Tamandua tetradactyla: one gene and its partners. The protein of the gene in region 3 purifies or fractionates together with the protein of the main gene of each other region. This does not show direct contact. Links are inferred from orthologs where the notes say so. Each region holds a gene or a part of one and is shown on either strand. Other genes may lie near its edges.

Evidence for each region.
Region 1: the proteins of GDI1 (region 3) and RAB8B purify together in Homo sapiens (affinity purification with mass spectrometry; 3 studies listed by BioGRID and IntAct, counting the BioPlex papers as one, with this or other methods). This does not show direct contact. The link is inferred for Tamandua tetradactyla from reciprocal best matches to the Homo sapiens genes GDI1 and RAB8B.
Region 2: the proteins of GDI1 (region 3) and RAB4A purify together in Homo sapiens (co-immunoprecipitation; 4 studies listed by BioGRID and IntAct, counting the BioPlex papers as one, with this or other methods). This does not show direct contact. The link is inferred for Tamandua tetradactyla from reciprocal best matches to the Homo sapiens genes GDI1 and RAB4A.
Region 4: the proteins of GDI1 (region 3) and RAB12 purify together in Homo sapiens (co-immunoprecipitation; 4 studies listed by BioGRID and IntAct, counting the BioPlex papers as one, with this or other methods). This does not show direct contact. The link is inferred for Tamandua tetradactyla from reciprocal best matches to the Homo sapiens genes GDI1 and RAB12.

Annotation. Positions count from the first base shown.
Region 1 is NC_135340.1:79,512,077-79,520,076, reverse strand, and holds the start of RAB8B (ras-related protein Rab-8B), read right to left. Parts: upstream 3,009-8,000; 5' UTR 2,921-3,008; coding exon 2,797-2,920; intron 1-2,796. UniProt on the Homo sapiens protein: The small GTPases Rab are key regulators of intracellular membrane trafficking, from the formation of transport vesicles to their fusion with membranes.
Region 2 is NC_135328.1:153,603,648-153,610,624, forward strand, and holds the start of RAB4A (ras-related protein Rab-4A), read left to right. Parts: upstream 1-3,977; 5' UTR 3,978-4,221; coding exon 4,222-4,252; intron 4,253-6,977. UniProt on the Homo sapiens protein: The small GTPases Rab are key regulators of intracellular membrane trafficking, from the formation of transport vesicles to their fusion with membranes.
Region 3 is NC_135353.1:6,666,734-6,674,394, reverse strand, and holds the start of GDI1 (rab GDP dissociation inhibitor alpha), read right to left. Parts: upstream 3,009-7,661; 5' UTR 2,912-3,008; coding exon 2,867-2,911; intron 1,799-2,866; coding exon 1,691-1,798; intron 1,543-1,690; coding exon 1,443-1,542; intron 1,316-1,442; coding exon 1,181-1,315; intron 672-1,180; coding exon 473-671; intron 189-472; coding exon 57-188; intron 1-56. Other genes in the region: ATP6AP1 (V-type proton ATPase subunit S1), read right to left, coding at 4,207-4,416, 4,565-4,796, 4,883-4,930, 5,587-5,822, 6,212-6,297, 7,131-7,171. UniProt on the Homo sapiens protein: Regulates the GDP/GTP exchange reaction of most Rab proteins by inhibiting the dissociation of GDP from them, and the subsequent binding of GTP to them. Promotes the dissociation of GDP-bound Rab proteins from the membrane and inhibits their activation.
Region 4 is NC_135344.1:72,013,796-72,021,595, forward strand, and holds the start of RAB12 (ras-related protein Rab-12), read left to right. Parts: upstream 1-4,794; 5' UTR 4,795-4,832; coding exon 4,833-5,280; intron 5,281-7,800. UniProt on the Homo sapiens protein: The small GTPases Rab are key regulators of intracellular membrane trafficking, from the formation of transport vesicles to their fusion with membranes.

The DNA of each region.
Region 1 (8,000 bases), on a different chromosome or scaffold from region 3:
CAAAACATACACACACAAACCTGAGGTGTCATGAAATGGATCTTTCCTGTGAGGCCTTAGCAAATTTTGTTAGCAATGCTGTGGCAAACCTTGTCAGAACCCAGTCAGAAAAGCCCAGGATATAGGACACACCTTGAGACTTGAAGAAAACTCATGCTTCAGGAAGAGGAGGACCACCAACTCTCACCCAACAACTTCAGATCACCTGGGGGTGAGAGTGGGTGACCTGAAAGGTAGATATTGCTGCTAGAAATGTTAACACTCCAAACCTCTGTTTGTGGTTAGGAAAGCCTGTGGAACTTTTCGCCAGAACAGTGTTAACATTCACCTTAATTTCCCAGCTTAATTTCAACTGCAAAGCATTAGGTTTCAGGTATATAAACTCTTCTGCTGTTTGAAGGCAGCATGTTACCACTTCCTATCAGAGTTCTGGGGTTAAATTAAGAGGTATGGGACTTCCCCTCCTCCATGTCAACGAAGACACAGCTCACAGCCTCGCCTTACCACATCTACCTCACAGAAAACATAAAGACCGAGGTCTTACATGAGAGTCACCCCATATAACATCTACCTTCTACTCTATTATAGTTTCAAGACACTGGTTTTCATGCTTTAATAGTTGTAACCCTCCACAGAACTCACATTCCATTTTTAAAAATCCACTCAATAAAGATTCTAAGCCTTCAGAACGAAAAGTACTTTTTAAAGATGCTATTCTAAAAGGAAGCAGACACCCTTATACAGGAAATGTGGAACAAAAATTAAGGCAAAAAAAAAAAAAAAAGAAAAGCTAAAAGAAACAAAAGTTATCCAACGAGCTTATCAGAAATAGCAACATCAAGATTCACTCACTTTCAAGGCAGGAAGATAGTTCAGGAGGGTCACACAAAGAATGGACAACAGGACACCCACTCAACTGGTTAAAAATTGTCCTTTAAGACCAAATGTACTGTAGTTTGCATTCAGCAATGAAAAAGGATTATTTGGGGTTCTGAAATTAGGACCAGCGTCAAAAATTAACACCCTGTAGTTCCTGTAGCAGCTCCCACCAAACATCTTAGGATTATACTTGAGAGATGACATTTAAAACCTGCTTCCTTAGAAAAGAAAAAGTCCCACTCAAGACTGACTGCCAAGAACTTGCAACTGAAACTTCCCTAAGCTCAAATATCAAACAGCCATGAGTTTTCCAACCACCCAATCCATATAAAAATTAAGAGGGCAAAACAAACAAACCATAGCCTTTTCTAATACTTGATTTGAAGAGCACTCTGTACCTAAATATTTTTTTTAAATAAAAATAAATCACCCTTAAAACACACACTTAATACCAAAGCACTAGACCCCTAGAGTATTTCCCAACCCAGAAACTCACGATGAAAATATGCTATAACTACCATTTGAACGATGTCTGGATGAGCTACTTTTAGAGGTCAAAAACATCACCCAGACAAACAAAAAGCTAAGATTCTTAAGGTGCTTAATTGACTGCAACTATTTTGGAGGAAAATGATTAGTTTACTTCTATAGGCAGCTTAAAGCAAGAGTTGATTAACTCTTCAGTTTATTGTTAGAGATCTTGTTACCAAAATACAACCATTTCCAGTACGAAAGTAGGAAGAAAAGCTTGCAGCCAAGATCAGAAAAACTCTTAAGTCAACTGGAAGTAACTGAGGGGTGCATTGCATTTTGTGATTCATTTAGCAAGTAATAATTGGAACCAGTGCAAAATATACAAGGGAGGCAGGGAGAATGTAAGATCAATCAATTCCTTGGCTGAGAAGTTATTAAACATGCAAGCCCAAGAAATAACTGGGAACTGCTGCTTCTCAGGAGAAGGTAGTAAAGGGGTGAACCATATTTTCCTGACCACACCACACCTCAGTATAACCAATTCCCTTACCACCTCTTAATACTCATGGAACAATTTAATGCTCCACAGGCATTATTTCACCATAAATCAATTTTTTGCTCTTTCTCCTGCACTCGATCCAAAGGAAGTAGAGAAAATGATAAGGAGTGTTCCCAGTTACCACAGAAAGTTCTGCATCCTGCTGCTTTCTATTTCCTCTCCCTTTTTCATCTCTATCTTCTCTGCTCAACCTCTTCACCATACATACTATTTCCCTTTCTATCTCAGGCCAGCTCTTCTTTACTTTCTCCACTAAAGTATCCCCCAATCCGTCTCTTGTCTCCTGTACTCTTCTCCCACCTGCAATTTTCTTTGCCCCTTCCCATGACATCTCTGTCCAGGCCTCTTGTGGCCAGAATCCCCTCATCCCTCACCTCCCGACCACTCATCCCCCTTAATCCCCTTCCGATTGTCTGGTTCTCGCCTCTCTCGTCCCTTGTGTCCTCAGTCCCTTGATTTCACTCCCTCCCATTCCCCCAACCCTTCATTTCCCCCTTCACAGTTCCTTCCTCTTTCCTGTCTTTTAATCCATTTTCACACCCACTGTCCCCATCTCTCTCCCCATAAGATTTCCTGCGTCTCCCCACTTTGTCCCTTAGAACCCATTCCTGTCAGCTCAGCCCTATCATTTCCCCCATACCCCTAGTACTTGTTCCTCTGTTTCCCCTTCCCTTCCTTTGCCTCCAAATTCCCCTTCTCTCCACCAGCCCTACGACCCCGCCCGCCGCTCTCTCTCACGCCTTCGCCCTCTTCCAATGCCCTCGAGCCCTACCGTCCCCGGGATCTCCCCGCGGGGGCTCCCAAGCCCCCCGCCCCCTTTCCAGCCCCCTCCCTCCCACCTCCCGTTTCTCACCGCCCGTCCCGGGCCACGGCCCCTCCCTCACCGATAGTGGAGATGAAGGTGGTGTTGAAGGCGTCCTCGGAGAAGCGGAACAGAAGGCAGGTCTTGCCCACCCCCGAGTCGCCGATCAGCAGCAGCTTGAACAGATAATCGTACGTCTTCGCCATCTTCTCGCTCCGGCCCTCTGACCGGAGAGCGTGAGGAGGCGGTGGAGAGAGGCGGGGAGGGGGCCGCGGGCGAGGGGGCGTGCCCGCCGAGCCGCCGCTCGCCCCGCCCCGCGCCCCGCCTCTCCTCTCGAAAAAGGCCTGCGCGCCCCGCCCCGCGCGGCCAATCCACTAGGGCTTCGTCATCACCGCCCGCGCCCCAGGGCTTCATGGGACTTGTAGTTCCGTCGGAGAGCCTCGGGCGTGCCCGGCGCGGGCGGTCGAAGTGGCCCCCGCGAATAACAGAAGATTCACAGTCGGTGGAGTGACCAGTGAACTAGGCGTTTCCACCCGAGCTGGGAAAGGAAATCCCGATTCAGATTCTGCGCTTCCCGCCCGGGGAACTTAACTTCGGGGTTTCTTTGTGTGCGGGGACCTTTCAAATCCAGGACCTCGGAATCTGGAATCCCACCGTACACGCATCTCTTCCGCTTGGTCCCGAAGAGGAGATGCTTTCTTTCCTTTGCGCGTTGTGGCGCAGCCTCTGGGTTATCTGTAGAGTGCATTATCCTGCTTTTCCAGTTCCTGCCCAGCAACACCTCTAAACCCCCTTCCGCAGTCCCGCAGTCAAACGGGGCTCGGAAAGAACGATTTCTGTGCTGACTTGAACCTCACCCACGCCCGTTTCTTCAAGTCACACTGCAAGTCAAATATACTGAGTATTTTAGAGGATCTGCTGCGCAGAACCACCACCACGAGAATGATGGATTTAAAAAAAAAAAAAATCTAGGAACTGACAATGTTAAGACTGTGCTACAGGTCTTTGCCCTTCAAAATTGAAAGCATAATGTGATGCGGAAAGTATGACGGTAGATGTCTTTAGAAAATAAAGTTTGGATTTTTGTCTGGGCTTAGCCTTAACTGCTGTGACAAGTCAGTCACAGAGCCTCTTTGCACCTCGGTTTTGTCATCTGTAAAATTGGTATAAAACGAGTTGCAGCGAAAATTAAATAAATTGCTGAATGTGAAAAGCACTTTGAAACCTGTAAGGCTTATACAGGTATGTTAGCGGTAATTAATGAAGAGGGGAAAACAGCATTTCATTATACTCAATACTCTGTTATTTGCTGTCTTGGACTAATTCTTTAGTTGCTTTGTGGATAAAGTGTTAGAGTCATTTTCATGCACTTGTAGCAGAAACCAAGCCAGATTAGCTGTTCTGGAAGGGGAGTTTACTGGCTCAGGTTGATATGAAAGGGCAAGTGAGCAGCTGAGAAGGTCTGGCGTGCGAACCTTTAACCTGTCAGGACTCTGTCATCTCTCCTCCCTTCTCAATTTTAATTCTAATGTTGCAAATATCGACAGATATAACTCACATAAGCAAAGCTGTTTTTAAGAGGATCAAGGAGTCCTGAAACGAAAAAGTTAAAGAACCACTGACATTTGCCTTAGACATAAGGAAACACCTTCTGGAAAGTTAGAGGAAGTTATTAAAGGAACCAGTAGACTCAACCATTAGTGGAATAAGAACAGCTTGGACAGATAGCTGAACAAGACAACAGGCTTCTCTAAAACACATTTTGAGTGCCTTGTGACTTCATTTATAAGGCCAGAAATATTCCATTCTTAGTCCTGTTGTGGGAGAAGATTACATTGAGTATAGAATCGGCCTTCACCTTCTTTGTGGATGGATTGTGAAATGCATCATTACTAACACTTATTGCTCATATAGTACCCAAAAGGCACTGCTGCTAACCTAATGTCTAATTCTGGGAGTCCACTTGATGGGAACAAAGCTCTAATGAAGTCAAAGTCAAGTTTGATTAATGAGGAGAGATTTTGCCCTCTGGTACAGGCTGAGCTTCTTTGTTCCAGCCAGTCCTTGAGCACGTCTGTGAACTGCCCTCCGCCAGGGTCTAAACAAGCGTGTACAGCTTAGTTCACGTTCATCCTCATTCCTGAAAAAGAAGGGAAAAAAATCTTCAAAGATCGCTGGAATCTTCTTTCTCTTTTAAAATGTGTACTTATTAAAATAACTTTCAGTCCCACCATCTGCACACAACTCTTGGTATTCTCTTTCTGTATGAATAAGAACACACTGAAGTGATAAAGAACTTAAATTCTGAAAAATCAGAGTTAGGAATTTTAAAGTCCCTAAATTTCCTTAGGGAAATTTTGTTAATTAATGGGAATCTTTTAAAAAATAGTTCTGTCTTATTTTCACTTCCCCATTTTCTCTATTACCAAGTGTATAAAATACTGCTATTCTATCTGGTAAGTTCGGGCACCATTGTTGAACCAGTCAAGTATTTTGGTATATTGACATTAATTCAAGGATGATCAGAGTTTTTTTTCCTCTTGGTACATTATTGATTTTTCAATAGTATGTTATTTAGGGATCAGATTCTGGTGGTAGTAACAGAGTACTAATTGAGTCAAGGTACTTTGCTCAAAGAACTGGACAAAAAGTGGATTTGTAAACCTAAGAGTACCACAGGTGATAGGTTGTTGCCGTTGTCCCTTCTTTCCTCAAGTGATACCAGTTAACTCCTTTCTAAAAATCTACATTTTTGTGTTCTAAGGAAACCACATCAACACTTTTGCCAGTTGCCACAGCCTAGCCCAGAAGTGCTACAATCACTGCACCAGGCAGCTTGCACATTCTGTTTGATTCAGTAAATATGTATTGAAGCCTTCTATGAGACTAACACTTATATGTACATGATAGCATGGTTACAGAAATCTAGAAGTCCAAGCAGTTTACCCTCTGCGGTTTTTGTTAGGCCATCACTCTTTCCTTCTTTTTTGAAGTTGTCTCCTCTCCGCCCCTCACCCCCGATGGCTTTGAATCATGATACCTCAATTCCTCCAGGATAAAGAAGTAAGCTTGTGACACAGGCTGGGTCAATCTGAGTTCTCTGTGAATTTTCTAAGGAGGTAGGGTCATAGTGCTCAAAGGAGGTCTGTCTGGTTAGTGTCTCTGTGAGCTTCAGACTGGGTTTGATCAGAGCCTGAATTCATTTTCCTGTATTATCTTGTTCTTGCCTTCCTTTAGGTATTTACCTTGTCCTCAGGCTGGCTTTACTCATGGTAGCAAGCAGTTCAGGCATGTTGCACAATTCCAAAGGCATATCTTCCTCATGGATCATAGATCCCAAAAAAATCAACCAACATCTTCTTGAGAGTCTGTTTTCTGTACAAATTTTCAAATTAAAATAGGCATTTTAAATTGGTTTAACTTGCTTCATGACACTTGAATGCAAGAAACATCATCTTTCTTAATTGCTTAAATTACATTTGGTCAAGATTCCCTTTTTCTCAAGAGTTGGCAAAACCATTATCAGCCATTGTTGAGACTTTCCCTTCCCTAATTGTATCCTATAAGAATCCAGGAGCTTACATAGTCCTGAAAATTAGGGGCAAATCAGTCTTTATCAGTCTGCTCTGGCCAGTGTAGATGCTTCTGCTCAACCACTCTTGGATTCTGGTTCTCTATTAGCTATTGAGCACAGCTGTCCCGGGGCTACAAGGCTGTACTTCTCCATGGTTATCTTAACTGATGATGGCTCAGCTTTTTAGTAAATTCTCTCTGTGTTATGTAATAGTTTGTGTACCTCTTTGTCTTCTTCCTTGAAACTTGAGTTCTTTGAGGAAAGGGACATTGCTCATTTCCTGCTCTGTCCCCAGCATGCCTAGCATGGTGCCTTTTCTAACACATAGTAGGCACTCAATTAAATTGTTGAATGAATGAATGAATGAAGGAAGGAACATCTAACTAACTGCCAGCACTCTAGTTATTTAAATAACCTCTTTAGTTTATTGTTTGCTGTGCTAGTTTGAAACTGTTAAGGTACTCCAGAAAAGCCATGTTCTTTTAATACTAATGCAATCTTGTGGGGGCAGACCTACTGTAGAGTGAGACCTCTTGATTAGGTTGTCTCCATGGAGATATGACACACTTAATTGTGGGTGTGACCTTTTGCTTAGATGGATATGTGACCCTATCTGTTCAAGGTAGGTCTTGGTTAGTTTACTGAAGTCCTTTTAAGAGAGGAACATTTTGAAGAAAGCTCAGCTGCAGATGTTTGGAGATGCTTGGAGACAGACAGAAGCTAACAGAGGTAGCCCCTGGAACCAGAAGTTGATAGCAATGAGACCCATGAGCAAAGGGCTAGCAGACCTTGCCATGTGCCTTCCCATGTGACAGAGAAACCCTGGATGGGAATTGGCCTTTCTTGAGTGAAAGTATCCTCTTGTTGAGGCTTTAATTTGGACATTTTCATGGCTTTAGCACTTTAAATTTGTATCCTAATAAATCCCCTTTGGAAAAGTCAATCCATTTCTGGTATATTGCATTCTGGCAGCATTAGCAAACCAAAACTTTTCCTATAAGACCTAAATATTTGTGGCCTTACCAATACCTTTCTGATTATACTCTACATTGTATTTCGATGTAATGCATTCTGCAAGTATTCTATTCATTGCTGTGCTTAAGACATCAGTGTGATTATATGTTATTTCTGTAGCTTATCAAGATGCTATTGAATGATAAGCCCTGAAAAATACCAGTTTCTTTTATCACCTGAGTGTCATCCAAAAGTATACCATTTATTTAGTGATATTCCAGTGGGATAATTCTCTAATTATCTTCCTCAGAAAGGGACAAACTGTACTTTTCCCGCCCACTGATATTTCCTGAACAATTACCGGGTGAATAATGTCCACTCAAACAGTCATTAAGCTTACTCTGTGGAAACTAGCTTAGCAAGGGCACCTGGAAAATAGAGAAAACTATCATGTTGTCCCTGTCCTCAGTTTGCTTCCCAGCTATAAACAAGAGAGCCCACAGGGAAAAATTCCAGACAAATGAAGGCAAATATTTGACTGGTACCGATAGCATTTATTCTGATAAGTTAGGTGTCTATTCTGATTGGCTGGACTTCCATTCCAATTGGTCTGGCATCCTTTCTGATTGTTTGGGTATCCATTTTATTATTTGGTTGGGCATACATTCTGATTGGCCAGCTTTCCCATCTGATTGGTCAAATGCTCATGTCATACTGGTTGTTAAGTATATTGCATATCGTCACTGGGTGCAAAAGTT
Region 2 (6,977 bases), on a different chromosome or scaffold from region 3:
GCAAAAACAAGTTCCAGGAAGTAAATACTTCTAAGGCTAGGATGTTAATTTCCCTTAAGCAAGTCTCTTCCACACTTCATTGTGCTTTATCTGCATATCTCGGCTTCTACTGAAGTTCCAGATCCTGAACACTCAAGTCTGAATTTCTTGTGTCTGCAAGCTTTAGGTTAAACATCAGCCTTTTAACTCCTACAAGCACTTACACAGAGTCCAGAATATTTCTTTTCCCACAAATCATAGCGGAAAACCTCAGAATTCAAGGACATTGGGCAGAGTATTCAGCAGGGTTTAGCCTTAGTAATGGGACAAAATTTTACTCTGGTTCCATGAAAAAGCTTAAAAGTAGGACCCGAAAGTATCAAGCTGGTTCAAAGCTACTTAACCATATCTCCAAACAAAACAAAATTTTCAATGTCCAGCATCCAATTAAAAATTGCCTGCCATGCAAAGTAGGAAAATACCACCCATAATTAGAGAAAAGTTAATCAATATAAAATAAACTCAGATGTTAAAATTAGCAGAAAGTGGTAATAAAACTATTATCAGAACTATTTTTCATAGGTTTAAGAGAAATCAAGAATGTTAAATAGAGAAAATGGAAGATCATCCAAACTGATCTTCTAGAGATAAAATTATGATATTTAAGATGTAAAGAACACTGGGTAGAACTAACAAAACATTGCAGGTTGCAGAAGAAAAGCTTAGTGAACTTAAAGACGTAACAGAAATGATCACTTAAAGACATAATAGAAATTATCCACAATGAAGCACACAGAGAAAAAAAAGATTGACAAGAAATGAACAGAACATTTGCTGTGGAACAAATTCAACACGATTGCAATCAGAAAAATATTTGAAGAAATAATGGTTGAAAAATTTCCAAATCTGATTAAGAAAAATTATAAACCCACAGACCAAAGAAGTGTAATGAAACTTAACTATATGAACCAGGAAGAAAATCATACCAAGTCATGGCATAATCAGACTGCTTAAAACTAGTGGTAACGTGAAAATCTTAAAAGCAGACAGGGTGGCATAGGGTGGTATATGGGGGGAAAAAGCAGACAGACATAAAAGATATTACATACAAAGGAATAAATAGAAGAGCAACAGTAGACTTCTTGTCGGAAACAATATAAGCCAGAAAATAGTAAAGCAACATCTTCGTAGCAGGAGAAAGAAAAAGCACACCTTGAAATCCAAATTTAGCAAAAATATCTTTCAAAACAGAAGTAAAATTAAGACTTTTGCAGATAAACAAAACTGAAAGAATTCATCACCAGCAGACCTACACTAGATGATTTGTTAAGGCAAAAGAGAAATGATGCCACATGGAAATCAGAATCTACACAAGGAATTCTAGATGTAGTAACTATGTACTTTTTTCTTATTGTTTAAATCTCTTTTAAAGAGAATTGACTATTTAAAGCAAAAGCAATAGTGAATTACTTGGTGTCTATAACATATGCAGCAGTTGTTTTCATTTTGCAAATGGAAACCCAGTATCACAACTGGAAAAGGAAGAAGACAACAGCACAAAGGCGAGAGCAGGATGGCAATGAACTGTTTGCTGTATTGTTATTATACTCCACATAAAGTGTCATAAAATCACTTGGGGTAGATTACGATAAGACCTATACTATAAATCCTAAAACAATCACTAAAATAATACCACAAAATGTTGTGTCTAATAAGCCAACAATAGAGATAAAATGGAATAATAAAAAGCACTTCTGTTCACTAAAGCCTAGAAGCAATGGCACTGCAGTAGTAACGTGTGTGTATACATCTACATAAAATTGTACACTTAAAATGCATACTTAGCATGCAGATGAAAGCCAAATACGAAAGCAACAAAGTAGCCAAGCCATTGATAAAGAAATATATGCAAAATAATCATAGGAAATTACAGCTCTCGAAATATTTCAGCATGGGCCTTCTCTGATTTAGAAGCAAGGAAATTTATCTGCCAATAGTGTCAGAAGAAAGAATAAAATGAAGAGCCAAATGGCTATTGAGGAAGAGGGAAAGAGGCCTCAGGGAAGGTCTGATGCCAATTTATGTGGAGGATGGAGCCAAATAGACACACATAAAATGTATGTACTGGCATTTTTCTCACAGTAGTTGGCTTAGCCAATGCCTATTTTTAAAATACTTATTATCGAGAAGTATCCACATACATTCAGTCCAACCATATTATACAACCAATGGCTCACAATATCATCACAAAGTTGTGTATACCTCACCATGATCATTTTTAGAACATTTGCATCTCTCCAGGAAAAGAACTAATGAAAGAATTCATACACCTCATATCCCTTACCCCTCCCTCTCATTGACCCATAGTATTTAAATCTACCCAATTTTTATCCTTTATCTCCCCCTATTATTTACTTATTTTTTAATCCTTATTATTATTATTATTTAGTCATCTGTCCATACCCTGGATAAAAGAAGCATCAGACGTGAAGTTCTCATAATCACACTTGCACTGTAAAAGCTATATAGTTATACAACCTTCTTCAAGAATCAGGGTTACTGGAGCACAGTTCAACAGTTTCAAGTACTTCTCCCTAACCACTCCAATACACCATAAACTTAAAACGGATATCTATATAATACATAAGAATAACCTCCAGGATAACCTCTTAATTCTGTCTGAAATCTCTCAGCCACTGAGATTTCGTCTTGTCTCATTTCTCTCTTTCTCCTTTTGGTCAAGAAGCCTTTCTCAATCCCATGATGCTGGGCCCCAGCTCATTTCCAGGAGTCAGGTCCCACGTTGCCAGGGAGAATTACACCCCTGGGATTCATGTCCCATGTAGGGGGGAGGACAGTGAGTCCACCTGCCAAGTGGGCTTAGAGATAGAGTCCACATCTGAGCAATAAAAGAGGCTCTCTTAGGGTGACTCTTATGCATAATCAGTAGGCTTAGCCTCTCCTTTGCTCTCCCTAGGAATAAGCTTCATAGAGGTGAGCCCCAAGATTGAGGGTCCAGCCTATTGAATTGAGCCATGCCTTATTTTAGCGTTTTATATATTTTAAACAAGGCTGGGCCTTATAAGATACGGCCATGCTCAGATGGATCAAACTCCCAAACAAAATTTCCTTTCCAACAAATTACTATCTCTACATTTCCAACAGAGATTTGGAACTGTTTTGTTCTTTAAGCCAAAACATCCAGCCAACGACTTTCTTAACCTCAGAAAGGTATCCCCAGCAGATGGTCAGGAAATGTTTCCTGCCAATAAATAACATTTCCCAAACAGTGGGATTTAAAGGGGCAGTAGTCTAGAGTCTTTCAGGCACTCTTCAGCACCTGCACACCTTAAGTTTCTGACAGTTTTTCACAGATACCCGCTCAGCCTCGTCCAGATAAAGAGCCAAACAGGTTTGGTTCGAAAGGTCCACCTCACAGGAGGTAAACTTGTTTTCCCAATCTCAGGGTTGACTCAGGCATGCAGGACACAGGCAAACACTAGGTGACACGTGAGCCTAACTCCCTCTTAGTTACACATTAACCAAGTCCCGGGGTTTATATAAAGGAAGTCTTTTCTCTGGCTGAGAGCCTCGAATGAAGACAAATACGTCTTCAATGAGGAGGACCATTTTGGCGAAAGACTGTATCTGTTCCCCAGCCTAGGCACTTTGCCTCCTCTGTCCAAAGTTGCTCCTACTGTGCCCTGCCCCGCGTCAGGCTGCAGCGACACCCCAAGCCTGCCCACCCTCGACCCCCCTTCCCCGCCCCTCTAATGCAGGTTTCCTCAGTCGCGCCCATCCAGGCCCCACCCCGACGCTGGTATCGCGCACGTGCTCCTTGTTTTGGTGCCAGAGGGGGGACGCGCGCCCTCGCCCTCGCCCTTTCGGCCCCCACCCCCGCGATCCGCGTGCGCAGGCGCGGCGGTGGGTGGGCGGCCGGGCCTCGAGCTCGCGCGCCTTCTGCTCCGCCGCCTAGTCCTCGCGGCCGCGGCTCCCCGGAGGAGGCGGGGTTCAGCCATGTGCGCCTGCGCGGAGCCGGGCAGTGCGGGCAGAGCCGCAGCCGCGGGGTGGCGGGCGGTTGCCTGGGGACCCGGTTGGGCCCCTCCCTCCTTCCCCGTCCACAGCCTCCTACTACCTTATCCACCGAGACGCAGAGAACCGGCTCCGACCCCTTCCCCTCCCGCCGGCGCGAGCCGGAGCTGCAGCCTGTGACCCCGGGGAGAGGCGGTGCCGCTTCCCAAGATGTCGCAGACCGCCATGTCCGAAACCTACGGTACGAGGCCTGGCCGGAGCCGGGGCGGGCGGGGGGCGAGCAACTTGCAGCCCGCGCCGGGGTCTCGGGGTTCTCGGGGGTGCGCGAGCCCCGCCCCACCTCGTCCAACCCCTTCCCTCCCGGCCCGGGCGCGGGCTGCTGGCGCCCTCCCGCGGGCGGAGGGCAGGTGCGGGCGCCCTGCGCGGGGCGGGGCGCGGGGTCCCGGGTCCCGCGGTGAGAAGCGCATTTACGTGATCTGCTTTTAAAAATTTCCTGTTGCTGCTTCTCCTCGCTGGCACCCTAAACGCTTCTCCTTTCTTACTCTGATTTCAGCAGCTCAGAGGTTTGGGAAGCCAGTTGGAGACTGACTCTCAGCTGCGATATTGACCCCAGCAAGGGATCTGAAGGGCTTAGGGCGACGCTTGCATTTGAGTGTTCCTCAGAAATTCCAGTTTGACCTTTCCTGTTTTTAAATTTCTTTCCTTTGGAATTGCAAAGAGGGGTTACCGACAGAATAATTCCTCTCTCCCTGTGGAAACCTCTTACCTCATTTATTGCTTTCTCTCCTTAGGGTTTTTAACCGCCTCTATTTTGCATTCTGGCTATTTATAAATGTCTTAACTGCTTTTAAAGACTGTAAACATCTGAAAACAGAACCGTATTTAATCTTTGTTTCTCGTACAGCATCCAGAGCTGGAGGTCCTCAGCAAAAAAAATATATATATGTATATGTGTATATATAAAAATTATGAAGGCCCACCCAAGTCATATACTGTTTTGTTTTGTTTTTTAACACCCTGGGCGGTAAGAATAGACAATACCGCATGTTTTTGCTTTGTGTCAGGATTGAATCAGTGTTTACTGTCTCTTGCCAGGCTTTCAGTTGTGTGCATTCTCAGATTAAGACTTTGATTTGGAGTTTTGAAGTTTTGCAGTCCCAGAGAGAGGCTCAGGTTCAAAAGCACTGTGACTACCACAAACCAAATTGATCTTATTTCCATTTGCTCCTGTCAGTGACCATTATTCCAGTCAAAAAATATGTGTAGAACCCACTGTTGTGGAGTATGCTAGGTACTCAGCAGGGAGTAAAGCAGACATGCTCTGGTCTCATGGGCAAGTGGGAAGTACAGTGTTAATTATGACACTAATGAATGAGTAATTAAAAACCCAGGTAAGCGTGCTGAAGCTATGTGGCCTAGGAAAATGTGTTAGAAAGAAATCTGACCTAGGCTGGGACGTCAGGTCAGGGAGTTGTTAACAAGTCACAGCACAGCATGTACCCAGGCCCTGTGAAACTGAATTCCAGTACAGGGCCTGTGATTTGAGTACAGGCAGCTAGGAGAAGAGGGATGAGGCAGAGAAGTAAACCTGGTCCTTGGTGGGGCCGGACTTTGTAGAGGGTTTTGGCCTTTCTCCTAAAAGTGGTGAGAAGTATTTGATGGGTTTAAATAGTGGGGCCAGAGAGGATTTGGCCAACCTTTGATGACTCTTGTGACTGATACTTGACCTGCTCCTTTTGGCACTTGGGGCATGATGCTGTGTTCTTAGAAGGCACAGGAAATCTTCCATGAAGTCACTGGTTTCATAAGTACCAGTGTTGTGGGGGCTGAAAGTGCCACAGTAAAAGACAGCCATGTGGTGTGGTTGTCTCTATACAGATCTACAGTCGAAGGTTTCATAAGGAAAATAAATTTTTCTAGCTATTATTAGTTACACTTTTGCTTCTCTTTATTTTGAAGTTCCCCTTTCCCATCTTTTACCCTTTGATGTAGCTAAGGAGCAGTAGGGAGGGGTGGAAAGTCCAAATAAGAAAACTGGGGGTAGGGTGTTCTTGACTGGAAGAATCCGGGAGATAGTTTTGTATGTTTCATTTTTCTGATTATGAAGCGATAAAATATAACATTGGCATCTGACACCTTCCGATACAGCTAATTGAATTTTTGAGCATCATAGATTAACTGATTAAACTCTGATGGTAAGACTTTGATTATTAGTATTCTTAATTCATAATATCTCCCAAATATTTTTTCACTTTTTACATTCTGAATTTAATCTTTTCCTCATTAGAGAAAATTAGTTTTAGAAAGAGGAAGTGTGGTGGTAGTTGAAGTTGCCCACCTAAAATAAAAGTCCCCAAAACCAAGTACAAAGCTGCCACTTGTCATTGACACATATTTACTTAGCATTGTTACTCAAAAGTAAAACCAATGCCCTCCTGCCTGAAACTTGCCTGCTAGTCTGGTGAAACAATGTTTCCTTAACCTTTAAATTCCTTTATATTCTGTGCTCATTTTCTCCCTTCTGTAAAAGGAGTCTCTATATATCTTGACAGGGGTACTATGCAAAATAAAGAGCCAGTGTTTGCAGTACACAGTCAATTAGACATATATACATGGTGTTTAGCATATTAAAGCAATATTTCACCTTTCATTGACTGAGTAGTATTGAACATTTTGTTGCTCAGGAGCCATTCACCAGGTGAAAGCCTACTTAGTATAATTAGTTACTGAAATCTTAAACTTAGGCAACCTGAAATCTTCATTCTGAATATCCCTTACTTGAGACAAGGTTGTCCCCAATACTGTTAGATTCAGAACATTCTTAAAGCCAATTAGTATTATTTGGAAGTCCCCTTGGACTCCTTAGGAGCTTCACTTTGGCCATCGGAAACCTGGAAGGTCACAAAAATAATTGTGATGCCAAGATTTGTGTTGCAAAACTAACCAGTCAAGTCGGTAGTGTAAGT
Region 3 (7,661 bases):
TACAGAAACGCTGAAGTCCTACCTGCTAATACCGACTAAAGAAAGCTATGCCTCACCTTGCGAATCCCTGGGGCAGCTCACCAAGGCCATAGAGTGGGTACAAATAGGGGCTCTTGCCATACCGGGCCAGGGACTCGCTGTACAATTTGATGCGGTTGATGGTCTCAAGACAGGGTTGGTCCAGGTAGCTGAGGGGACAGGGGAGGGAATACTTAAGACAGGAGAACCCCCAGCTTACCCAAACCCAGGCACCAGGTCATCCTCCCTACCACCCTAGATGGTCTGGGGAAAAAATATGGGTCAAATCCAGGGATGGGAGGGAAGGACAGCAGGCTGAGTATGTGAGGGATATAGAAGAGGTGGGAGGAGTGAATAGAGAGAGGAACAGGCTGGCATGGGGGTACAGAACATCCAGGGATGTTCCTGCTGCCACAGAAAGGAAGCCCTGCGCCCTGTCCCAGCTTCCCCTCACTCATCAGTGCGATAGAGCGCCAGGGCGTGGCCAGTGAAGTCAATGACATCCTGGCCCAAGTCAAACTTTCGGTAGACGTCACGCATGCTGGTGGTCTGAGGGTCGACCCCTTCAAAGGTCTTGGGGTCGTTCTCATCAAAATTTGCCACAAACACCAAGAACTTGCGGAAGCGCCGCTTCTCAAACATGCCCATCAGATCTGCGGGAAACATTATAATAAGATGCACTAGGCATTGAAAGTAAAGCTCCTCTTTCCCCCGCGGTAGAGCCAGCAGCCAGGAACCCGCTCCTGGAGGAGTACTGGCACTGAAGCTGTGGGACCTTAGATTAAGCTCTCTACCCCTCTCAGCCTCGGTTTCCCCATCTGTACAAAAGGGGGTTGAGTGGGACAGACTTTAAGGGCCCTCCCTGTTACCACACTTAGGGTTCCTGGGTCAAATAGAGACTATTTCAAAGGCTGAAGTTTCTCCCAGGGAGTCTCCTCTCCACCCAGCCTCCGTGTCTGACTTCCCTTCCAATGTTGAGCCTGAGGAATCGTGAGAAGGGCAGTGAGGGATGACAGAGCAAGGGGCCTTGAGTACACTACTGCCTACAGAATGCAGCCTAAGGCCGGCCAGGCACTCCCTATTCTTGTCAATCAACTTCTACCCATATAGAGAACGCCCATCTCACCGGCATTGTTCCCTGGCCCAAGGCAATCACACTCACTGGAAGCCAAGGCCTCGGTCTCAGTGGACGGCACTTTGTAGATCTTGCCCCCCTTGTAGACAAAGCTGCCCTCAACAACCTTAAAGTCCAGGTAGCGAGTCACCTCAGTATACAACAGCATCTTCACCAGCTGCCCTGGGGGGTGGGTAGGGAGAGAAGAGCAAGGTGGGGGGGGGGAATCCCTCCTCATCCTCCAGCCTGACTGCTCTTCCTCTGGTCCTCCTAATCACCCTCACCCCCATTCCTCCATCATCTTCCTCACCATTGGCCATGAGAAATTTCGGGATCAGGTCAACATTCCAGTCTCGGCCCCGGCCCATTGATTCAGGGGGTCCCTCCTCGAATTGAAAACGCTTATATAGCTGCAAGCAAGAAAGAGAGAGATACCTTGAGGCCTGTCCCCTCCCTCCCTAACCCCCAACCCCAGTGGCCCAGAGAATGTGAGGTACGGCCTCGAGCCGCACGGCAAAGTTAAGCAGGAGTCTCGCCCAGGCCTGGGCCACGCCTCACCTCCTCCAAGGGTGTGATGGAGGAGCTCTCACCCCCGTAGTAGGGGTTCCGGTCCATGTGCAGCACCTTCTTCCCGTTCACAGACATGATCCCAGACAGGATACATTCCTGCAAGAAGAGGCCACCTGCCCACGTGCCCACCAGCAGCCCTGGCTGTTTCCCATCCCCACGCCTGAAAGGAGAGCCAACCCCGGGGAAGGGTCCTGCTGGGGTGGATGGCTCTTCCCATGACACCTTCCCAGGTTAGTCGCTTATCCTAAAAGTGGGGGTGATAGGTCACCTGGCTCCAGTCTCCTTTGTCACCACCTTGTGGGGCCAAAAGGGCAATAAGGAAAGAATTAACTCAGGGCCTGAGGGAGAAGGAGGGCATCCAGCAGATACGTGGACAGCCACTAGCCGGCCAAGAAAGTCTTCTGTCTATGCAGGGCCAGGACAATATGACACAACCCGCCACAGAGGAGATGGAGAGAAGAGCTAGTGGGACCACGAAGGGCCCCCTCCCCGGAAGGGAAGTGAGGAAAGGCTCGGCTCATTGCCACCCCTGCCTGGGCTGCTCTTTTTTCAGACCCTGACCCTGACCCTTCTGGGCCACGGACTGGGGGCCATGAATCCATCTGGGAAGCCGGCCCACTGGGTGCTGGGGAAGAGGGGGGAGATAAACATCCGCGCCAATCCGTGTCCCCAACCCAAGGACAAAGGCTGCGGATCCTCCTCAGCCCTAGTCTCCATGGGAAACCGGGGTGGGAGAGCGGGAAGGGGGGTGCTGCCCCCACTCCAGCTTCTTCTGGAACATTCCCTGGACTCCCTGGCCCCAGGAGACGCGAGGAAGACAGGTTATGCGGGGGCTACCCTGGCCAGCACTTCATCCCCCCGCCGGAATCAGGCAAGGTGGGAGAGGATATCGCCCGGGTGGGCTGCGTTTCCCGGGGGGGCGAAGGGAGGGGAAGAAGGCCGGGGACGCGGCGCGGGGGCGGCCGGGCTGGAGGGGCCCTTTAGAGGCGACGGCACCCCCGCGATGGGGGTGGGCGCCGTCGTGGGATGGACACCGAGGTGTCCCTTCGGAAAACGACGAGCGCAGGCGGCGTCGGGGAACGGGACCGGGAAGGGGGCGACCGGGAGCCGCATCATCGCGGGGGACGCCCGCCTGGGAGCCGGCAGGCCCCGACGCCGACTCACGGTGAGGCCGGTGCCCAGCACGATCACGTCGTATTCCTCGTCCATGGCTCAGCCCTCGGTGTCAGCGCCGGCTCCTCCTCCTCCTCCCTCACCTCAGCCGCCGCCGCCGCCGCCGCCGCCGCACTGGACCAAAGATGGCGGCACGGCTGTCAGCCGCACGACCCCTCCGCGGCGTCAAAGAGTCCCGGCCGCTCCCCGCCCCTGCCCCGCCCCCGGGCGGGCACGCCGTCCCTCGTGCGGTCCCCGGCCCGGCTGTCGGGGTCCCGGACCATAACCCTAGCGCAGCTCCCCGGGCGCGTCCGCGGAGCGGAAGGCCCCCGTGGAGGGCGGGGCAGGGACGCGCGGGCGGGGCGGCCGGTGCTGCGGCTCCGATCGGGATCCGTGCGCAGGAGCCGCGCGCCCCGCCCCGCCCCGCCCCGCCCCCCGGGAGGCTCGCGCGCGCCCCCGCGCCGTTCGGGCCGGCGTTCGCGGGTGCGCGCTGCTGCGGTGGCCCCCGCCGGGGCGGGGAGGATGGGTGGGGGGCACGAGTTGTGTTTTCCTCGGGGTTGGGGGGGGTGGGTGACGTGGTCAGGGTCCAGGCGGCCTTCCTCCCCCTCGTACCCTAACCGGCTAGGGTCCCCACCCCCGCGAGGCCTGTCCACCTGTCGGCCTGCTCCTCTCGGCCCCCGTCCCGCCCCCGCGCCGCGCGGCTTGCCCACATCCGGGCCCCTTCTCCCACAGCCCGCACGGTCCGCGGCCAAGCGCATCCCTTCTGCTCAGCGGGGAAATGAGGAAGCGGAGGCCCAAAGCAAGGCGACCCATTTTTATTTTAATGAAGGAAACACAACTGAGTACCCAGGGCTTCTGCGCCAGGCACTCCTGCTGGGGAAATGCCAGATGTCCAGTGATCGCACCCAAACCACCCGCCATGGAGGCTCCTGCCTTCCGAAACCACAGACAGAAACCCCGGTGTACTACTTATTTTTAACACGACATCACCAAACAATGTATCCTAGCAGGACGGCCAAGCAAGACAAACAATAAAAGAGCACGGCTGAGGCCCCCACATTCAGGGAGCCCCATTCAGCCTGGGAGCGTTGTCTGCGACACAAAAGCACTATAAACAGCAAAAGGTGGTGTTGGCCAGACGGGAATAAATAAGGAGAAAAGAGGGGGAAGGAACGGGTCCCTAGAACTTCCCTCCCCTCACACTGAGGGAACCCAGGAGATTTGTCTAAGATCCAGAATATGAACACCTTGGGGGTTGGAGCAGGGAGGGGGCCTCCCCTGGGAAGCCCCTCAGGGGCTGCAGAGTAGAGGGGGCAAGACAGGTTGTGGGCAGCTGGGGCTCCATGCAGGGGTCACACGATCTGGGTGAGGGAGATGGAGGGGCCCTTGTGGTCATCAAAGCGGTCCATGGTCTTGAGGCTGAGGAGCATGTGCAGGCCGTAAGTAAAGATGAAGAGCATGGCCAGGGAGGTGAGGAGGCCCATCCAGATGCCCGGCGAGAAGAAGCCTGCACAGTCGCTGGCATAGGAGAACCGCTCACCCGTCACGTTGAAGGCCTGGATCTGGGGCAGGAGCAGGACGCAAGTCAGAAACTGTGCTGGGACCTCCCAGCCTCTTCCCCCATCCCACCCTGGACAAGGCCTCTGCCACCACACCCCTTGCCGTGGCCCCGATACCCCCAATCCAGCTCGGCCCTGCCCCTATTCATACCTGGAAGTCCTGGAAAGTCAGGTCCCAGAGTGAGGGCTGAGTACGGGGCACAAGGAGATTGCCGTTCTCGGGGAGGCTGCTGACGTACTGGCAGTGGAAAGAGTAGTTGCTGGGCCCGGTGACCTGGGAGGCATTGAAGTAGATGATGGAGCCATTGCTGTGGATTTCCAGGCGCTCCAGGGTAAACCAGTACCGGGCCGACACCGGGTAGAAGCGGTTAGCCAGAATGAACCTGGGGGAGGGCCCAGGGTAGTCAGGCGTGCTGGGAGCCGGGCCATCCCAGCCTGCCCACACCTCTGGCACCCCCACAGGACTTACTTGAAGGTCACCATGGTACCAAAGAGCTGCTCATAGGTCAGTGCGAGCCTGAGAATCACAGTCGAAGGTATGGGGTCAGGCACAGATAGGGCCTCCTCCCACCTAAGCTGCCCCCAGGGCATCAGAGTCAGCCCAAGAGGTCATGCTGCCCACCATACAGATGGGAAAACTGAGGCCCAGAGAGTGAGAGAGACTTTCCCCCCATCACACTCCAAGTCAAGAATAGAGCTGGGGCCATAACCCAGGTCTCCCAACTCCAGTTTTGAGTTCTTTCCTCAGGTGGCCTGGAATACAGTGATCCCCTCCTCCTCCTTTCGGCTCCACCTTGGGGCTGCTGATGTGTCTGGGCTGGACTTGGCAGGTGGGGTAGAATCAAACAAAGGGTGGCAGTCTCTCTAGCCACACAGGAAGTATGCGTGAGACCCAGAACAGGGCCTGGTACCTGCCCGTGTTCACTCCAAAAGGCTCTGCTCAAGGGGAAGGCATAGGTCCCAGGTGACAGGAAAAGTATAAACAAAGGTCCAAACTGGGGAACAGAAAGCCCTGAGGTGGTAGAACTTGGAGCACCCCCCAGCTCCCCACATCCCCACAGCTACCACACCCCACAGCAACCACAGCCACGCTTGCCTCCGGCACACAGCCCCGCCTTGGGCAGGCCTATCGCCTCGGGTGCCACGGTTCCTCCCCAGCCAGAGTCCCCTTACCCAGCATAAGTATCATTCCAGAAGGAGCCGGTCAGGTTGAGATCCTGGCCAAAGGTGAGGGAGGTCAGGTCCTCTGAGTGGTCCCTGTATGACACAGAGAAGTTCTGGGCCCAGAATAGGATCCGGGGAGCTGTGTCATTGTAACTCACGGGGTGATGGGGCACTTCTGGCAGCATCTGCCTTTGTAGCAGCTGGCGACCGAGCCCCCCAGAGACCACTTCCACATCCCGGGCCACCTGTGGAAACACCCAACAGGCCACTTCTCAACAGCCTGGAACCAAGCTCCGACTCTCCTGCCCACCCTCTCCCTACAGGGCAATGCTCTCCACTGCCTCAAAGCCCCACTGGATGGAGGCAAAGGGCTCTCCTCCAGCCACCCCTCGAGCCTTGCTCATATCCATAATCCCCTAAATGTAGGAAGCACTCTGCTTATTTTCATAGTGTGCTAACTCGTAAGGTTCAGAGGGCAAGATTAAAGACCACTGGCTAGAGGAGGAAGGACTAGAACCTTACTCTTCAACGCCCCCCCCCACAAAGATGCTCCACACATAGCCTTTACCCAAAGTTCCCTTGACACTGGACTCTCCGGGAGCCCGGGTTCTCCTCACAGGAAGAGGGCACGTACCCGGGAAGGGCGGATGGCCGTGAGGGCTGCTGTGTACGGGACGTCTTCCGACTGGAGCATGCTCAGTACCTGCCCTATGACCTCGTCTGGGGGGAGGTGGGGAGAGCAGAGAAGCAGGTCACACAGCTGCCCCGTTCAGAGAACTACTTCCCCCCCCAACCAGGCTGTGAAACATCTCCAGCCCCACTGGAAAGTTCCAGGCTGCAGAGGTGTTGATACATCACTCGGCCACCTCACACCAAGGAACATGTGCTGTCAGGTGGTCCCCCTACTGATGAGGCTCAGTTGGGTCACTGGATGGCAGTGGGGCCCACCAGATGTCTCCACTGTGAAGTGCCCCCTTCCCTGCAATTGGTCTGTCACCTGTGGTGGGGGACTGAAATCCCTTTAGGGAGCCTGTTCCCTATCACCCCTCTCACCTGGCATTTTCACGAGCCACCCATGATCCCTGCCAATGGCAGCTATTTCCCAGGTTCTCTCCAGCCTCCCCTGGAACTAGAGTAGTCCTGGGCCACTCAGTGGAATAAGAATCTACATGTATTCAAAATTGCTTTTCGAAACATTATTGGTCTATTAAATATAAAACCCCAGCATTAAAAAAAAACAAAAAACTGCATTGGCTCTGCCCAAACAGCTCTCTTCAAAGACACTCAAAGACAGCACACAGAGGCTCCTTGGCCTCATGACCCAACTGCCAGGCAGAGCCCCGGCTAGTGAGCATTGAGGCCTGGGCACCACATGCAGTGTCCTGAAAGCTGCTACTAGTGGGCTGGGGCCCCACTGAGCACAAGAAGCTGAGGCACTGCTGCACCGTCTCTGCCAGCCTGCTCTTGGCAGTCCTGGCACCAGTTGGGTCCAAGGCTGGATAAAGCCAGCGAGGGGTGTCACAGAAGGGGCACCTGTCCCCAGTGCCACTCACCATTGCCTGTGAGGACTTCCTTTGGAGCCATCAGTCCAGAGCTATCAAACAGACAAGACAGTTAGCGCCCCCTCTTAGGAAGAGACAAAAGAGTTAGAGCCCCTTCTTGGGAAAAGACAAGAGAGTTAGAGCCCCTCCTTGGGGCAGCCCTGGCCCTGGGTCCCAAACAGCTGGCCTTCCTGCACCCTCCCCAACGTGGGGCTGGCCCTTCTCCCACAACTCCTGCCTCTCCACCTCTCCACAGCCCATACTCAAGGCTTACTGTCCTTTCCCACTATCCCTATCATGGAGCCGGCAAACTCCAACTAGGTGGCTCTCTGGGACCAATGCAGGAACCTGATCACAATCCCGACCCACCTTCTCCCCAGGCTGCAGAGTCCAGCTCAAGACCCTGCCACCTGCTGTTAGCAGCTCCCAGCTGTGACAGGCTGTCCCCAGCAGGACCCACACCCAGCTCATATCTGGATCCCTGGCAAGCCCAGCATGGTACTGGGATCTGACTCCTGAACCGTGGCCCAGCAGGCCGCCCTT
Region 4 (7,800 bases), on a different chromosome or scaffold from region 3:
GGTGGGCCTCCCGGGTTGGTTCAAAAGGTCTTGAGAGAGTGGGGAAAGGAGACAGGGTTTCGGTTTTTACTGTGAACAGTAGGTGGGGTTCAGGTGAGAGTTCCCGCATGTGCACAGCGGCTCCTGTGGTATTAATCTCCCACCGGTGTCAAAGGCGGGAAGGTTCACCCAGGTGGGTTCTTAACAACTCGCCCAGATGGGAAGGGAAAAGAAGGAAGAGGGAGTCCTAAAAGCTGTCAGCAGCCAAACATCAAAAAATGAAGTCAAGCTTTTTATTACAACATCACTTCTTCAAAGTCTGTTGGTGACTACGTCACTTCAGTTCACACAGTGTTCTAGTTTGCTACCTGCTAGAATGCAATATACCAGAAACGGGATGACTTTTAAAAAGGGGAATTTAATAAGTTGCTAGTTTACAGTGCAAAGGCCAAGAAAATGTCCCAATTAAAACAAATCTCTAGAAATATCCAATCTAAGGCATCCAGGGAAAAATACCTTGGTTCCAGAAGGCCGATGAAGTTTAGGGTTTCTCTCGCAAGTGAGAAGGCACATGATTAACACAGTCAGAGTTTATCTCTCATCAGGACGGGCACGTGGTGAACATGGCATCATCTGCTAGCTTCTTCTCCTGATTTCCTATTTCATGAAGCTCCCCGGAAGGCATTTTCCCTTCCGTCTTCATCTCCAAAGGTTGCTGGCTGGTGGACTCTGCTTCTCGTGGCTATGTCGTTCTGCTCTGCTCTCTATGAATCTCTCATTCTCCAAAATGTTTCCTCTTTTATAGGACTCCAGAAACTAATCCAGACCCACCCAAATGGGTGGAGACATGCCTCTACCTAATCCAGTTTAACAACCACTCTTGATTAAATCACATCTCCAGAGAGATGACCTCATTACAGTTTCAAACATACAATGCTGAATAGGGATTAGAAGAAACGGCTGCCTTGACGAAACAGGATTAGGATTAAAACATGGCTTTTCTAGGGAACATACATCATTTCAAACCAGCACAGACAGCAAAGCATGGAGCTGTATTGCCTCCTTATCTCCTGGTGATAAATCCACACATTTTACAAAAACAGATTATCAAAAAAGGAAATTGGCCAACAAAGATGTGGGGGCAGCAAAGAGGCTAAAAGTGATGATGCCTGAAGTGAAACTTGAATCAAATGTAAATGGAGTCAGAAAAGAAGCAGCTGTCCATGGGGATGCTGACATTCTGCTGTTAGAGACTATCTAGATGGGCAGCCAGAAGAACTCAGTGAAAGGAACTTATTGGCATAAAGGAGAAAAGTGGGTGTGATGAGAAGGATGATGACATCCGAGAGGAAAGGGCACCTGCAAGAATTTAATGTTAAATGAATTCTTGGAGAGATTTCATAACATTGAAAACAAGAAGAATAAAATGTTGGAAGTTGATCCAAACTTAAAAAGGAGGATAACAATTTCCCAGGGCAAAGGGGAAATGCTTACTCTGAGCCATAAGTTAAACAGCAAAAAAAGGCTGGCAATATTTAAACTATTTCTCAACACTTTAATTCTCAATGTTTCTGAAGTTTCGAATTACAGTGTCCTAGATAAATATTTTTTCATTTCCTTATACATTTATAATAATCAGACAATTGTCACTCTCTTGCCAAAAAGGTTTAAAAGTCAGGGAACTATCAAAATGTCTTTTGTTGATTTAAGCCCTCTAGCCTCCTATATTCTGGAACAGCTAAAAGGAAAAATCTGAGGATCATATGGTAACCCATGACAAATTCTGGGATCTGTCCTGTAACTACTTGTGGAAGAGTGTTTTGAAAACTATTGTTTTTTTATTGCTTTGCTTTCTATATATACTATGCTATACAATACAAAAAGTTTTTTTTTTAAAGTCAGGTAGTGTGAGACTTTCCACTTCATTTTTCTTTCTCAAGATATGTTTCAACTAATTGAGGCAATGTGCCTTTCCAAGTAAATTTGGTTACTGATTAAAAAAAAAAAAGTCTCCCATTGTATTTAATAAGATTGTTTTGCCTATTTTGAGCTTGCTCGTTCATTTTAGTGGTCCCACGCTACCAAGCAAAGCAAGCCTTCTTTTTACCACTCCCCCCAACCTTGGTAAAAAACAATCCTCCCCTGATTTTCCATGATTCTACTACCTCCAGATTCCTACCTCCTTTCTCTCCCAGGTTGGCTTCTCTTCCTTTCCCTACCTTTTGGGAATTGGCGATCCCCAGATTCTGTCCTTGAGTTTTTGTTTCTTGCTCTCCATATTCTCCTATTCCTGTCCTTTTGTAAAAGTTGCAAACTCTCCGTGGTGATGGTGATGTTAAAGCGATAGTGAAGAAAGGGTGCCTTACCAAGTGTCAGGATTTGGAAAAAAGAAAGCTACAGGAAGGGATTATTTCACAATCCAGATTTAGGACAGAGCCCAAGTTGCTAACTACCTCTACTAATACGGAAATCTATGAAAATTTCATTCATTCATTCAACAAATATTTACTGAATATGTACTGTATTAATCACAGTTCCTCAGAGAAACTGTACCGATAGGATACATATGTATGTGTGTGTAAATATTAAGAGATTTATTACAGGAATTGGTGCGCATGAAGATGATGATTTGGCAAACTCAATTCCGTAGGGCAAGCCACAAGCTGAAGCTGCAGTGAAGGTAAGGTTGGATTCCCCAGGAAAAGTCACAAGTTGGGAATTCTGACGAAGGTGAGTGTGAATTCCTCAGGCAAAGGGGCCGATGAAGTAGAGGTAGAAATTCATCTTTCTGCCTGCTGAAATCCTCAGTTCTCCCTTTAAGGCCTTCAGCTGATTGAATAAAGAGATTCCCTAATTGTCAAAAGCAACCTTCTTTGTTAATTGTAGATGCAATCAGCCATAGATGCAATCAATTGACTACAGATGCTAATCCACCTACAAAATAAATACCCTCACAGTAACAATCAGACACCGCTTGCTTGGCCAAGCAACTGGACACAATAAAAGAGCCAAGGTGACACATGAAATTGACCATCATGTGTTTTATGAAGCAGGCCTAGTTCTAGGGCTGAGCGCATCCTGGAATGACACTGATGATTGGTTTATAACAGCACACACGCATCTTAACTGTGCCCTCTAGTGGTACCAGCTGAACCTCTGCAATTTATTTAACCCATTACCTTCTTAATGGAGGAAATTATAGATTGCTTTAGGGGGGAAGACAGAGCTTTCTTTGTGGCAAGACAATCTTTATCCCCCACAAGGCACACCACATTCATCTGTCTACTAGTACAGGAAGTGCTATCCATTAGTTTGGACCAAATTAACAATCTTGAGATTACTTTTGCAGAGCTGTCTTGCTTCACAAAACAGAAACAGTCCTGAAAAGTTGTGCATAAATCAGGTCCTTTAATTCCTTACACTTGCATAGTGCTTTCTGGTTTATAACAGACTTTACATAGAGCATTAGTTGAGAGTCACCTCCACCACGCCACACAGAGCCCCATGACCCCCATCTCTGACAACCCTAGATTGCTTCCCTATTGAGCAGAAGAGAAACCCACAGCTCGACAAGTTCTGGGATTGTTAGCTAAGGGATGGGGCTGTATATAAAATAATAGCAATCAAATTCTATTTTAAATACCCTAAGAACTATTGAAAAGTTTTCTCTGTGATTGCTTTTGGGAAACTTGAGTTCTCTAATAAAGGCAAACCTACTCCTATTCACTTTGTGGGCAATCTGGAGATTTACAAGTCAGGTTTGGAGAGTAACATACACCAGCACTCTGCATTTACTAAACCCAGTTCTAAATAAAGCTGAGGTTTGGTGGGTAATGTGATCATTCTCGGAAATGTGCCAGCCGGTATCGTATTTAGGACCCTGTGTTCTGAAGGGGCTCAAGTTCATGCTGAGGAATTTGTCAAACAAATCCCTAAGCAAGGCACTGGCGCAGGAATTTTCTGTAACCTGAAATCCTTTCAAACAGAAGTGGCAAAACATACTGCCCGAGTCTATAATTCCTAAACTTTTGGAGTTTAAACTTCTCACCACTGTTGAGTTGTAACTCGCTGGCTTCCCCAAAGGGGCATGACATTTATTTATTTTAAAAGTTAAACAGGATCGAATCTTCTGGATTTTAAAATTCTAACACTTTTTCGAGTGAAGCAGAGATTAGGGTAAAAAATAAGTGATGCTGCCTGTGCCTGTGGCAAAAAAAAAAGGAAAACAAACAGAATAGGGAAAGACAGAGCTCAGGGTGGTCGGCACTTGCAGCTGTAGGTGGCCTTTGCACCCGAGTGTAGACCACAGCCGGGAAGGCGGGCTTGGGGGCTGTCTCGGTGTCCCGGCAGCATGCTAGTTCTGCGGCAGCAATTGGGGAGAAGAAGTCCAAAAGGATAAATTGAGGTGCGGGGGATCGACAGCTTGTCAACCGTGCACAGAAAAGTGAGGAGGGAGGAGGGGGAGGGTGGAAGGGAAAGAAAAGATAAAAGAGCAGACAGAAAGAAAGGAGATGGAAGGTTAGAAAGAGGTAACTGTACAGCTTGAGTAGAAAGGGGACAGGAAGGAGACAAGAAGCAGGACCTGGAGACAAAGAAGCGGAGCCAGTGAGCTGCTCTGGGAGCGCCCGGAAGCCCCGGCCGGCTGGTCCTCCCACCGACAGGGGGCGCCTTGCTTCTGCCAGCCCTCCTGGTCCGGTCCTCCAGCCGGCAGGGGGCGCGCGGCTCCCGCCCGCTCACCCGGGCCGGTCCTCCCGCCGGCAGGAGGCGCTCTGTCCCCGGCCCGCGCCCCCGAGCCGCCCGCCCCGCCCCGCGCCGCCGCCGCCGCCGCCGCTTCCTGCCCCTCCTCGTCCGGGATGCTGCTGCCGCTGCTGCGGGGCGGCTGTTTCCCTTCCTCCTCTCCCGGCGGCGGCGGCGGCGGCGGCGACAGGGGCGCGGGGGCCGGGCCGGCGGCGCAGCTGCAGCGCGGAGCCCGCGGGCCTCCGGAGCCGCTCGAGCAGGCGGACGGCGGGCGCGGGGCCGAGGAGGGGCGCGGGGCGGCGAGCGGCGGCGGGCTGCGGGCCGCGCGGGAGCCGCATGTGTGCATGGATCCGGGCGCCGCGCGGCAGAGGCGGGCCGGGGGCGGCCTGGGCGCGGGCTCCCCGGCGCTGTCGGGCGGCCAGGCCCGCCGGAGGAAGCAGCCGCCCCGGCCGGCCGACTTCAAGCTGCAGGTCATCATCATCGGCTCCCGCGGCGTGGGCAAGACCAGCCTGATGGAGCGCTTCACCGACGACACCTTCTGCGAGGCCTGCAAGTCCACCGTGGGTAAGGCAGGGCCCGCCGCCCCCGACCCTCCTCCAGCGCGCGGGCAGGTGGGCCCTCTCCCCTGCCGGCCCTTCGGGTCTCAGGCCTCGAGCCGGCCGGCGATCTTCGGCCCGCCTCGGCCTCACATCCTCTCCTACCTCAGCCTCCTCGCGCCGGTCCCTCTTCCCCGGTAGGAGCCGACGACGCTTCCCGCAGAGTCCGCCCGCGCGACCTCGTCGTGCGCTGGTCGGGTCCAGCCTCTTGCAAACCCCGGAGCCTTCTTGCTTTGCTCGCCTAGACTAGGAGGGCGAGGTGGGAAGCAGGCGGGCAGCGTGCAGAGAGTAAAGCTAAAGGCCAGCCCGCGCCGCCGTGGCGCCCTGCACAGAGAGGCCGAGGGGGGGGGGTCTTCTGGAGCAAGTTTCGATCTGTAAAATTTGCCTAAGAAGGAGGAGTATTTCCACTGAAAACAGGGCTAACTCGAGAGTGGGGACCAATTTTTATGATGCTCCGAAGCAATGAAGTTAAGAGTTCGCTATGGAGACTCTGTAAGAGACTAGTAAAAATAAAACTATGCTCCAACAGTTTGCTTTGAATGTAAATATGGGCAGAGCGATTTTGTACTTAAACGTGACTTCAGGATAACCCAGTGACTCTCAGAAGTGGGAACAGGGCGTCCAGTACCAGTCAGGCCGGGCGGTACAATATCGTCAGGGTCTGAAAGGAAAAGTGCAGAGAAAGTTTTGTTATGAGGTCGGATGTACAAGACTTGACATTGAGGCTGTCCCTCGGTGTGGGTAACGTTTGTTTCTGTGAAAAACCCCTTAAAAATGTCAAAGCTAGGGGACTGGCGTCGCTGGGATGGTTAAGTGATAATGCGGTTAGGGGATTTACCCCTGGGAGAGCCAAGAAACATGGGATGGTATTTAGATTTGAAATATGAAATTACAAGTATCGTTCCGTGTACTTGTCTGAGGTTCAAAGAGCCCTGGCTGCTTTAATTGGAAGTCCTTATCTCATTTTTGTGCTCCGAAGTTGACCCGAACAACACTTTGTCTTACTTATCTTCGCAGAACTCTTGCTTGGATCTAAATTGACATTTATTATTGTAACCAGCGGTATTTTCAACGGCATGGGTATGTGAGGTTTAAAAAGTGTAGCACAATTTTGAGGTGAACTGGTTTTAAATTGTGGTGTGACAAAGCAATGCAATATTTAAAATGTCTGATTGAAAAATTAAATCCCCAGTTTTGCGATTGTTTTGTTTTCAAGAAATTGTTTCCCTTAATTCTTTCCTTTTTTTGGAATAGATCATTTTGGAAATGTATGCGCTCTCAGAACCCTGTTTATATGTTGTCTGGTGGGGGGGGTCACATTTCATTCCTTTTCCATGAGTATCCCATTACTCAAGCACCATTTGTTGAATTTTTTGTTTGTTTGTTTTTTGGGAAGTGCATGGACCAGGAATCGAACCCGGGTCCCCCACATGGCAGGCTAGAATTCTACCACTGAACTACCCTTGCGCACCCCACCCCCATTTGTTTTTTAAATATTGGCCTTGGAGTCTGAGATTGAAAGTTCATTAGAATAATTCTGTTTCACATACATGATCTTGGATCCTGTAGATTACAGGGAGTTGGTAATCCATCCAGTGAAGTGCACAGTGCTATTTTAGTATGCAACGTAATAAAGTAGGATTAAAAACAATTCAGAATTATCACTCTATTGTAGCGCCCCACTTAAATATATAAAAGTGAGAGGTAATACTGTGATGCAAAGAGGTCAGTATAGGCTTGGTGGATGGAGGTGAAACATGGAGATCAGACAGTTTCTCTGTCTCTCTTTTTTCTTTTTAATTTTTATTGATAAAACAACGTACAAGCACATACATTCTTAAACATCCCATACATAGTGTACAGCCATTGGCTCACAGTATCATCACATAGTTGTATACTGTGTGATGTATACTTTTAAAAACAAACATAAATACATACTCACATGCATGCTCTCCGTGGAGTTTCCTGTGCAGTTGGGTTTATGTCTTGCATATTTTTGTGTCCTCCTAAAGTGCTTGACTCAGTAAATGTTTATTGTGGAATTCAGAGAAAGATGATAACCTCTGTCCTGATCCAGAATACTCAAACAATTTAAGAAAGCTCTCAGTAGACCCCCTTGGATTTCTGCCTCCAGGTTGCTTTTTCCTCCCACCTAACTCACATTTAGTGAGAACCTCCTGTGTGTTGGGTGCTGTGCTACCCACAGGGATTCAGGTATAAATAGCATGCGGTCTCTGTCCAGAAGTGATCCGAACTTGTGGGGAAGTGGATTCCAGGTGTATAAGGACAGTGGCAGGGATGTCGTGGAGATGTGCCACCCATCTGGGGTCAGCTGAGGCCTGGTCAAAGAGGGCTTCCTCCTCCCTGAAATGCTGAGAAGATAAACTCGTTCTTTGAGTTCCTTTAGAAAAAAATGCGCTTTAAGCATGGTGCTGGGTGTGGTGTGGGATTGTGGTTGCCTCACCTGAATGTCATCTTCATAGGGTAT